3 linked regions of the Danio rerio genome follow. The main gene of each other region encodes a partner of the protein of the gene in region 2 in a complex. Links are inferred from orthologs where the notes say so. Each region holds a gene or a part of one and is shown on either strand. Other genes may lie near its edges.

Evidence for each region.
Region 1: flcn (region 2) and lamtor1 share a complex: the UniProt entries of both Homo sapiens proteins name them as parts of the lysosomal folliculin complex. The link is inferred for Danio rerio from reciprocal best matches to the Homo sapiens genes FLCN and LAMTOR1.
Region 3: flcn (region 2) and lamtor4 share a complex: the UniProt entries of both Homo sapiens proteins name them as parts of the lysosomal folliculin complex. The link is inferred for Danio rerio from reciprocal best matches to the Homo sapiens genes FLCN and LAMTOR4.

What each region holds. Positions count from the first base shown.
Region 1 is NC_133190.1:46,803,246-46,807,006, forward strand, and holds the start of lamtor1 (ragulator complex protein LAMTOR1), read right to left. Parts: upstream 2,291-3,761; 5' UTR 2,108-2,290; coding exon 2,066-2,107; intron 1-2,065. UniProt on the Homo sapiens protein: Key component of the Ragulator complex, a multiprotein complex involved in amino acid sensing and activation of mTORC1, a signaling complex promoting cell growth in response to growth factors, energy levels, and amino acids.
Region 2 is NC_133191.1:14,148,686-14,152,376, reverse strand, and holds the start of flcn (folliculin), read right to left. Parts: upstream 2,939-3,691; 5' UTR 2,769-2,938; intron 2,725-2,768; exon of another isoform or gene 2,443-2,724; intron 822-2,442; exon of another isoform or gene 319-821; intron 1-318. UniProt on the Homo sapiens protein: Multi-functional protein, involved in both the cellular response to amino acid availability and in the regulation of glycolysis.
Region 3 is NC_133179.1:20,644,452-20,648,212, reverse strand, and holds the start of lamtor4 (ragulator complex protein LAMTOR4), read right to left. Parts: upstream 2,292-3,761; 5' UTR 2,232-2,291; coding exon 2,229-2,231; intron 2,079-2,228; coding exon of another isoform or gene 2,043-2,078; coding exon 1,962-2,042; intron 618-1,961; coding exon 500-617; intron 1-499. Other genes in the region: atp6v1f (V-type proton ATPase subunit F), read left to right, coding at 2,695-2,852. UniProt on the Homo sapiens protein: As part of the Ragulator complex it is involved in amino acid sensing and activation of mTORC1, a signaling complex promoting cell growth in response to growth factors, energy levels, and amino acids.

The sequences.
Region 1 (3,761 bases), on a different chromosome or scaffold from region 2:
TAGTTCATTAAAAAAACACACGTTGATGATCAAATATACATAAAAAAAGTAGCGTAACTGGAATAATTTTGACGCAGTTTTGACAAACACTCAGCATTGAGCTGTTCTTGAATCATAAACACACAACTGTATTAAAAATGTGTCGTAAGTAAATGTTGTTGCAGGACTACAGACGCTACATTAAGCTGCATTATTAGTGTTTTGGGTATTTGTCTGTACTGGACAGCATAACACCAACTTTTAGTGCAAACCCTACAATATTTAGACATTTTAATTTAAAACATTTTCACGTTTGGCTTCAGTTTATTATTTAAAACCAACTAAAATCATAACTGCATTAAACTGTATTAAAAGTGTGTCGTAAGTAAATGTTGTTGCAGAACTACAGACGCTACATTAAGCTGCATTATTATTGGTATTTTAAGTTATTTTTCAGCATTGGACAGCATAAAACTAACTTTTAGTGTAAATCCAACAAAATTTGCACATTTTAATTTAAAAACCTTTTCACGATTGGCTTAATTAATTTTTTTTTTTTAGCTCACTAAAATCAGAAATACTCCTCATATTTTCGTACAACTATTATAAAAACTCCCAGGCCTAAAATCCACTAATACAGTGGTTCTCAAACTGTGGTACGTGTACCACTAGCGGTACGCAGGCTTCCTTCTAATGGTACGCAGAGGAATCCTACATGTCACGTACAAGCAACATATATTTCAAAATTTATCAAAAATGGTTTGAATATGAATATGATGACATATAGCCTATTTATGAGGTCCAAGCAACATTTCCAGGTTTTGATAAATAGGACTTTACATTTAAGTACAGCAGTTTTTTTCTATTTAAGGACAGTAACCTACCATTTTTATTAAACCTTTAAAAGCACATTAATTTAAACGTTAACATTAATTTTTTTGTTTGTTTGTTTACATATAAGCAGAGTACAGTCTTAATGTTACTATTTATAATGTTTAAAGTGGCTTATAATAATAAATATCCTTAATAGTAGTAGTTATTTTACCACGTTATTAAACTGTGCAGAGCTGCAGCTGTTTTACTGGGCCTACTACGCTACTGTATTTCAATACCGGTCATTATGGTGGTACTTGGAGGAACAATCTTTTCTGAGGTGGTACTTGATGAAAAAAGTTTGAGAATTACTGCACTAATATATTTAACTATTCCATCATTGTGGAAACCCTAACACTACATTTCCCCAAACATTAGCATTAGCACATGTCAGATCTGACACATTAGATCCAAATCCAACACAAAACTCTCAATTTAAGACTATTTCCACCGAAACACCAGCTTCAGTTCATTACAAACACACGCTTATGATATAATATACATAAATAAAGTAGCGTTAGTGGATTAAGTTTGTTGTAGTTTTGACAAACACTCAGTATTGAGCTGTTCTTGAATCACAAACACACAACTGTATTAAAAGTGTGTCGTAAGTAAATGTTGTTGCAGGACTACAGACACTACATTAAGCTGCATTATTATTGGTATTTTAAGTTATTTTTCAGCATTGGACAGCATAAAACTAACTTTTAGTGTAAATCCAACAAAATTTGCACATTTTAATTTAATAAACCTTTTCACGATTGGCTTAATTTTTTTTCTTTTTCACTCAATAAAATCATAAATACTCCCCATATTTTCGTACAACTGTTATAAAAACTCCCAGGCCTAAAATGCACTAATATATTTAACTTTTCCATCATTGTGGAAACCCTAACACTACATTTCCCCAAACATTAGCATTAGCACATGTCAGATCTGACACATTAGACCCACATCCAACACAAAACTCCCAATTTAAGACTAACTCCACCGAAACACCAGCTTCAGTTCATTACAAACACACGTTAATGATCAAATATACATAAATAAAGTAGCGTTAGTGGATTAAGTTTGTTGTAGTTTTGACAAGCACTCAGTATTGAGCTGTTCTTGAATCACAAACACACAACTGTATTGAAAGTGTGTCGTTAGTAAATGTTGTTGCAGGACTACAGACGCTACATTAAGCTGCATTATTAGTGTTTTGAGTTACCGGATCCGTCGTCTCGCTGTCGCTGCTGAAACAGCACCCCATGATGGCCGCCCAGCGGGTTCAGTATCCTGAATTTGGGTTTTTTATTCGTCTCAGGAGCGTTTTTGAGGTTGTGTTTGCCTCTTGGCTGTGAAGAGATTTGCTGCAAACGCAGAAACCATCACATGACAGCACTCCCAATCGTGTCACGTGTCTTCCGTCTCCACACTGGCACGTCAGTTCCGCCCCAAAAACCCGTTAAAAACCTTCATAGATATATACATTAGATGTCGCCTGGCCTATTGTTGTCTATTGGACGGAATGCGTCAATAGCGCCGCCATCTTGCTACAGGGTAGCGCTCCTTTGAAATGAATGCAGGACCAAGGTACAGTGGAGGACTGTGGCCATCCAAAGCCAGAGATATACACATATATCTATGATCGGGAGTTTTCCTGGATGTTGTATGTAATTTTTTTTTTCTAATTACGAAAATTATAATTTTACATCACATTCCTGACAAAAAGCTTGTGTTTGTGTGTACAGAAATGTACTATCCACCCTCCCTGTTAAATTTGATCTAATCATGTCCTGAAACACAGCTCCTCTCCTGCTTTCACTTCTCATACTGACGGAGCGGGAGCGAGTTGGAGCTGCTTTGCCTTATGGTGAATGCAGTAAGTCACTGTTTTCATCAATAACGTTACCTGATTAGCACAAAAGTTCAGAACATACAAAAACAGAAAAAACTTTTTATTACCTATGGAATGTTCTGCCTTTGTGCTTTGTTTTCTGTTTTGCTCGCTAAAGTCCCGCATCTTCACGTAATAACACTGACTTGACTAGTGCGGTTGAATGACATTTGTACTGGGAGCACTGTACCAATGTGGCGGCGCTATTGACGCATGCTCAGGGTCCCTATGCGATATCTAGTGTGTGTATGTATGTATATATGGAATGTATATATGTATGTATATATATGTATGTATATATATGTATATATATGTATATATATATATGTATGAAAAACCTTTAGGAAACCTTTATGAAAAACCTTTAAGAAACATCATGCTTTTTTTTTTTTTTTTTTTTTGCAATAATAACAGTACTTTACAACAAATACAGATACAAAACTGAAAGTATGGTACAATCAATAGAAATATTACTTTTTGAAAAAGTGGAATGTAACAAATTTAGAACAAATATAATATAGGTAAATCAAAATAAAGACAACGAGAGAGAGAGAGAGAGAGAGAGAGAGAGAGAGAGAGAGAGAGAGAGAGAGAGAAATAATAATAATAATTAAGGGCACATGACAAAGATTAAACAAATTATTGCAGGATATTAAATAAAGCACATATTTTATAAGTTTTAATAGCTTTCTTATTGTGAGAGTCTGTGATGGGTTTTTTTTTAAATAAAGAGCTAGTTCTCGTTTAAAAAAAAAAAAAAAAATAGGCTTACAATGAGTATATTTGCATTTGTGTATAAAAAACTTTCCAATAAATAAAATGTGGTTTATGCAAAAAGTTGAATTAAGGAATTCTTTTCCTTTAATATAAAACCACAAAATAATATGTCTATAGCTTAAAGAAAAATCTCCACAAACCTTTTGGATAATTAGAGAGTTTACATTAGACCAAAAAGATTTAACAGAGGGACACTCCCGAAACAAGTGAGCAACAGATTCAGAAGAGGTTTCACAGAAAGAGCAAGAGA
Region 2 (3,691 bases):
GCAAAAAGAGGCGGTGTTAAACAAGATGATTAGACATTTAAAAACAGCGAGCGATTGTTCCATGATTTAAATTTCTGTGCAGAAAGGTCAGAGCGGGAGAGGTCTCACGCAATCACGTGATGTGATTTTGCAGGTCAGAGTTCACCAAACTTGAAGTTTGCAATGCAGCATACTGCAAAACTTATCGCACGAGCTTGCGTTTCCATTCTGACGCATTTGCGTGCGTATGAATGTAAGTCTATGGGGAGAAAAGTGCAGTGTGATTGCAGCTTCAGTGTGTTGAAGCAGGGCTGGAACTAAACCGTGCAGGGCTGCGGCCCTGCAGGAACTGGCTTCGACACTTGTGGTTTAAAGGGGTAATTCATCCAAAAATGAATATTTACTGACTATTTACTCACCATGTGGTTCTTCTAAACCTTCATGAGTTTCTTTATTTTGTTGAACAGAAAGGTAGATATAATAAAGAAAGCTGAAAACGTGTAACCTTTGGCTTCCATAATAGGAAAACAAGTATTATGAAAGTCAACGGTTACAGGTTTTTGACATTTTTCTAAATATCATCTTTTTTGTTCAACAGAAGAAAGAAAGTCTTAATGATTTGAACCAAGAAAAGAGTAAGTATAGGATGACAGAATTGTCATTTTTGGGTAAACTGTCCTTTTAAAGCCGCACAATAATCTGCTTGTTAAATCATAATGTATGGAATACTGTTTCCTGGTCCAAGTCACTACTCATTTGAATTGAGCAAATATTTGTTTATGACCACTTTTTATTTATATAACACATGGTAAAGTAAGCTTCTTACAAAGTCAGAATGAACCACGGCGGAATGTACCACCAATTACTCAATTACAGGGACTCAATTATTCAAGGACTAAGCTGAAGTTCTCTGGACTTCCACCAATATTTTACCAATTTCAAAAAAAAAACATTCATCTGAGCCATCTGATATTAGGCATGGATCTAAATATATTTATCATAACTTTCAAAAATATTACTGTGCTCTGTGTGTTGCTACTAGTACCATTTGATGAAAGTGCTTGGACCTGAAAGCTGTGTTGCTTGACGGTAGACCTAACAAGCGAATAGCATTTCGACATCTTCACAGTAATAAGAAATAAAGTTTCACTTGTAAGATATATTAAATAGAAGCATCCAATTGTGAGAAATACAAGAGCAAGTACGACAAGTAAAATTAAAATTGAGAAACAATGTCACAATTAATGTGAGAAATAAAGTCTTAGTTGCTATAAAATTAATTTGTAATTGTAAAATATACAAGAGTAAATATGATAAATAAAGCTGCAATTTTAAGACAGTCACAATTATGATAATTAAAATTGCAATTATAACAAATAAAGGCAGAATTATGTTGTGAAATAAGGTTGTAAATTGTAAGATTTAAAGACAAAACTGTGAGAAAAAAATGCAATTGTAAGATATAAAATAATTATAAGATATTACATCATTGTTAAATATTCCTTAGATTTATTAGACATCAAAATGTGTGCTACCTCAATAACTGAAACAGTCACATCACAGTGTTGAGGAGGGATTATTGTAGGACTGTGCAAAATATTACAATTGTTGAAATATCACAGATGTATATATCATGTTATAAGTATTGCAATGTTAATAAACTATTTGATACAAAAGTATCCTTGTGTGACTTCCACTAGCACTTTTTGAAATAGATTCACAACTGTGAGACACAAAATAAGCTGCAATTCTAAGACACACAGCTGTGGTTGTAAGATATTAAGTCACAATTGTGAGATATATTTGCAAATGTAAGATTTACAAAGAAGAACAATGGTGCTTATGTGAAATAAAGTTTCATTTATGAAAAATAATGTTGTGATTGTGAGATATTTTTACAGCTGTGAAATACTCATCAATTCTGAAAAAAAAATGTAATAGAGAAATATATAAAGTCATGGTAGAAAATAATGTTTACATGTGTAATGGACAGAGAAATAATCCGTATTATGAGGAATAAAGATGAAATAATAAAAAAAAAAGTGAATATAAAGTTTTAACTGCGAGATATCCAGCCAGCATCATACTGTCAATTAAAGTTAAAAATAAAGTTAACTAACTAGTTGTAAAATAATAACATAGGCATATTTTAATGTTTGTTTTATTACTCAGTTTGAGTTTGCGATTTTAGATTTTAATCACTCTACATACAGCATATTTCAATAAATTTAAAATATAACAACCCTATTCTTATCCATAATCTTAAGATTTCGTTAAAGGAGTGAAAAAAAAAACATTCAACAAATGTAATTAAGGAAGTCATCAGCAAATTTAAATACAACAATCCAGAATACGTATGTTACAACATACAATATAACGCCTTAGTTATGTAGAAAGGTATACAATATATTTGTTCATTTTTATGTATTCACAAACCTAAATAAAAAGACACACGTTCCTTACCTGTGTTAGCTGCGTGAAGCTTTAGCGCCGACTGGTACTTACAGTAAATTATGAACAACTGAACATTACATTACAAAGCGTTGACAATGGCAACCATCTACAGGTTCTGCATGTTCATCAGCCTTCCTTACAATTTAACGTATAACTACTATTCAACATAAATGGGTCGTTATTCTCATCGATACAGAGCTTAGTAAATTTATCCTGAAACGCGATCGTAATTAATAGTTTTATTGTGTTTATGTTGTCCTTTTCAGTCTTGTGTGTCATGTGATGGGAAAGTCACGCGCTTAGATCACAACAACGCGTGTGTGTGCGTGACTCACAGCTGCTCTTGTCTCTCACGCTGAACAGCCATCGGTACAGTCCAAATAATCCACCAAAATGTTCTTCTGGTGTTTTTTACATGGTGAACGAGGTATATTTTGATATTCGTAATTGACGTGAGCTCTTCCGTAATCCCCGAATGCCTTCGAGCAAGCCTTGATCCTTGAGTGAATCTTCTTCAGGGTGAATCGGATCTTTTTGATGATTCAGTTGAGCAGGCCTTAATGAGATCTTACCTGAATATTCATTTACAAATCACTGGCCAAGAAGTCGAGTTAGCAACGAAATGTGCAAAAAATTCCAGCAAAATTAGTTAATTAATGTTTAGTATTGTACATTTTAAATGCAAGTTTCGTTCGTGTCATGCAATTTGGCTGGAATAAACATAATTACAGTGCAACACACTGAATTACAATAAATATATTTCATTAACAACAACAACATATGAAACCATAATCCATGTTTTTTTGAGTCATTTTATGTCATATACATAAATCAGGTGCAAAATTGAAATTAAAATATGCCCAAATTGAACTGTGCAAAAGAATCGATTCGCGGAAACAATTCGGACCTTCCACTGAAGAAAAACTACAATACCCAAGCTTCCATTTCAAACAGGAAGTGGCGTTTATGCACGTTGTCCCGGTAGTACAGTAAGTAAAATTGAAAATAATGAATACATATATAAAAAAAATAAGTGTACACTTTACTAGAAATCTAAACAATATGTTCAAAATTACTATTTTTCATCTACACTGTTTTTTTTCTATTGGTTTTAATCATTCACGTAGCCGTGTATATACACTAGCTATGAGTCATTTGTGGCAGATGATGTCATCCTGTACATGTTAACATTTAAACTAACCAGTCAACAAGCTAAGTTGTGTGATACTTTCTCGGTTTCTTCGAGGTAGGTCATAAT
Region 3 (3,761 bases), on a different chromosome or scaffold from region 2:
AAAATAGTAAATGATCATATATCAATTATTTCTTATTGAATAAATTTAATTAAAACAACAAATTAAAGAGGGTTATTTTATTTTATTAGGGCTATTTTGTTCCTAAACAAAATCAAGAGGATAAAAAAAGACTTAAAATGGTTACACATGAAACCATAAAAACTAATAAAACCTTTTTTTTTTTAAACAGACCTATTTAAAAACACAACTGATAGAAATACATAACAAAATTGCTTAAACTTTAAATAGAAAAAACACAAAATGTAAAGATAAAAACTATTTCAAACTGTAAAAATATCTGGATAATACTTAAACCTAATGTTACAAATAAACACTAATACTACAGTGATATCTGAATATTACATAAACCTGATGTTACACAAGCATGTTTACTTTAATAATTCACATCACATTTTTTGAAAATTAAATGACAAAATATGAGTGAAATATTGTTCTATCATCATTCAGCATTTATCTAAAAATGAAGTGCGTTTCTTACCAGACATGCGCTTGAATGGGGGCTCTGCAGTCCCATGTAATCTGAAGCGACAAGCTGTTCGGACCATCTGCATGATCACTCCTGCTGTGTGCTCGTCATTCTCCAGCTCTCCTGCCGACTGTAGATTACAAAAAACATTCACTTACTGCTTAACTGAGACAAGTGGAGTCATTATTAATCCCCCTATGATATTTTCTTTTTTAAATATTTCCCAAATTATGTTTAATAGAGCAAGGACATTTTCACATTATTTCATATAATATTGTTTCCTCTGGAGAAAGTCTTATTTGTTTTATTTTGGCCAGAATAAAAGCAGCTTTTCATACCATTTTAACTCAATTATTATTACCCCCCCCCCCCCAAGCAATATATTTTTTTAACTTGTCTACAGAACAAATTATTGTTAATTAAATTACTAATTAAACTAAGTATCTTCCTTAACCTAATTAACCCAATTAAGCCTTTAAATTGAACTTGAAGCTGAATACTATTATCCTGAAAAATATGTAGTAAAATAGTATGTACTGTCATCATGGCGAAGATAAAAGAAATTCATTAGTTATTCAATCTATTATGTTTAGAAAAGTGTTGAAAAAAAATCTCTCTGTAAAACAGAAATTGGGGAAAAATATAAAAGATTTAAAATTAAACAGCAAGGCTAATAATTCTGACTCAACTGTAAATGATAAATTGATTATATGATTAAAACATAGAACCTATCGAATATATAGAAAGAGACAGAGAGAGAGATAACCCCTTGAGCCAGGTGTGTCCAACAGACAGACAGACAGACAGACAGACAGATAGATAGATACAGTTAAAGGCACAATTATTGGCAATAAATAAATATTTTCCTTTTTTAATTTATTTTCATGAAGGCTGTTCAAAAGGAAGAAGATTTCTCAACACATTTTTAAAAATAATAGTTGTAATATATATATTTTTTAACAGAATCTGTCTTTGCCATGATAACACTGCATAATATTTTGCTAGTTATTTTACAAGATATTAGAATTCATCTTAATGAGTAACTTAAAGGCTTAACTTGGTTAATAAGTTTAACTAGGCAAGTCATTGAATACCATTATTTTGTTCTAAGGGCCTATTAACCTATTAAAATTGTTATTTTTTTATTTAAAAACTGCTTTTATTCCAGACAAAATAAAAGAAATAAAAAATTTTCTCAAGAATAAAAATATTATAGAAAATACTGTGAAAATGTCATTGCTCAGTTCATCATAACTTGGGAATTTTTTTTTAAATAATATGTATCAGTAGAGGCGTAATAATTTTGCCTCAAAGTGTAGACAGGCAAACAGAGACAGACAGAACAATAAGACTGACAGACATTGAATTCTAATTAATTATTTCTCATTTGCCCAAATCAGGATTCTCTTTTCAACGCATTTCACCCTCATGTCAAGTTCTCCGAAAATGTAAGTTATGAATTTTAACAGCTTACCGCGAGTACTCCGTCTTCACTAATAACCAAGTACCCAAGTTGATCGGGTATTCTCTCCAAGCCTTGAGTCAAAGCAGTAGTCTGACATTCAACACACGATAATACTGTAATTAAACACTAACAGAGCTCATATGATATTAGACTGCATCATCAATCACATTATTTACAAAATCTTTGTTTTATAAGTTCTAAATGCACTAAAACAAAACATTTAATAAAAAAAACATTTAATTAAACAAATATTTTAAAGGTAAGAATTATATTTACCATTTTAGACAGTGCAGATAAATGTACACTGCTGTTTTCCTTCACACCCCGCCTCACGTGACTGACATCAAGCGTCGCGTGTTTATAACGTCATTCCAGGAGATGTTTTGCTTATTCGACATTATTTTTGTTTATATGCATTGGAAACGTACAAAATGTGATAAAAAATCTTAGTATGACTAAAACGTGGCGGATTTTTATTTAATTTGCTAGGATTTATGCGCTGTTCTCGCATTTAACAAAAAATAATCTGTATCAGGATCAGATTCGCTGTCATAATCACCGCACACAGGTCGGTCGTTAACGCGAGCAGCACAGATCTCAGATCAGCTAAATAAGGCGCTTACGCGACTACGCAAAGCGGAAGTGAAGTGGTCAGCTGATTAAAGCATATGATCCTGCTGAACGGAAAACATTTCGTCCATTCTGCGTCTTTTATTTGAGCAAAATATAAGACAAAGTCACGATGCCCGGACGAGGAAAATTAATCGCAGTTATCGGTGATGAAGACACGTGCACCGGATTTCTCCTCGGAGGGATCGGAGAGCTCAATAAAAACCGTAAACCCAATTTCTTGGTGGTGGAGAAGGAAACCAGCGTTACAGAGATAGAGGAGACCTTCAAGTAAGTGACACGATCCTAAATGTCTGAATGACTCAACATCATATATTACAATCTAATTATCAAATATGTGTCATTACAAATATATGGATGAAGACTTGCTTTTTAAAAAAATATTTATGTTTATCTATCTATCTATCTATCTATCTATCTATCTATCTATCTATCTATCTATCTATCTATCTATCTATCTATCATATCAGCCAAATATTTTAGAAAAAACATTTATATATAAATTATTTTTATGTAGTAATAATTACCTAAATTTGTCAAGAAACCCACTTAAATGTCTTTTAGTTTAACAATATTTTATATACACCAGTAAACTGTCAATCATATTTGCAAGAAACTATTAAAGACATATCAAACTATTAATATTATGAATTACAGTGCAGCCCCTATTGACAATTGTCATTTAAATATCCTTTGTCACTATTCTTCAAACTACTGATCAATTTTGAATAATTTAAATATAAGAACATGTTTGTCTGATCTCTTCTTATTCTGACGATAGATCATTTTGAGGAATGTAAACAAAAACAAATGTTCCAACGTATTTTCTGTTTTACATTTTTAATTTTTATAGCTTACGAGAATCTAAAAAGAGCCTGCTTATTGATAAATAATGTTATGATAGCTTTTTTAGAATTAAGTTATTATTCAATTGTTTCTTTGATATCAAGCATAGGCCAATGTCATCACCACAATGAAATGGTCTATATGAATAAGTACAAGTCCAAGTCAATATGTAGTTTGGTATTTACATAAATATGCAATAATGTCTGATTTTGATTATAATTTCACCCATGCTTGCATTTAATTTTCAGAAGAGTTATTTGAAACATCAAAGTATGCGCTGTATATGCATTTAATACAATAATAAAATTATATTATGTATAACACCTTAGTAGA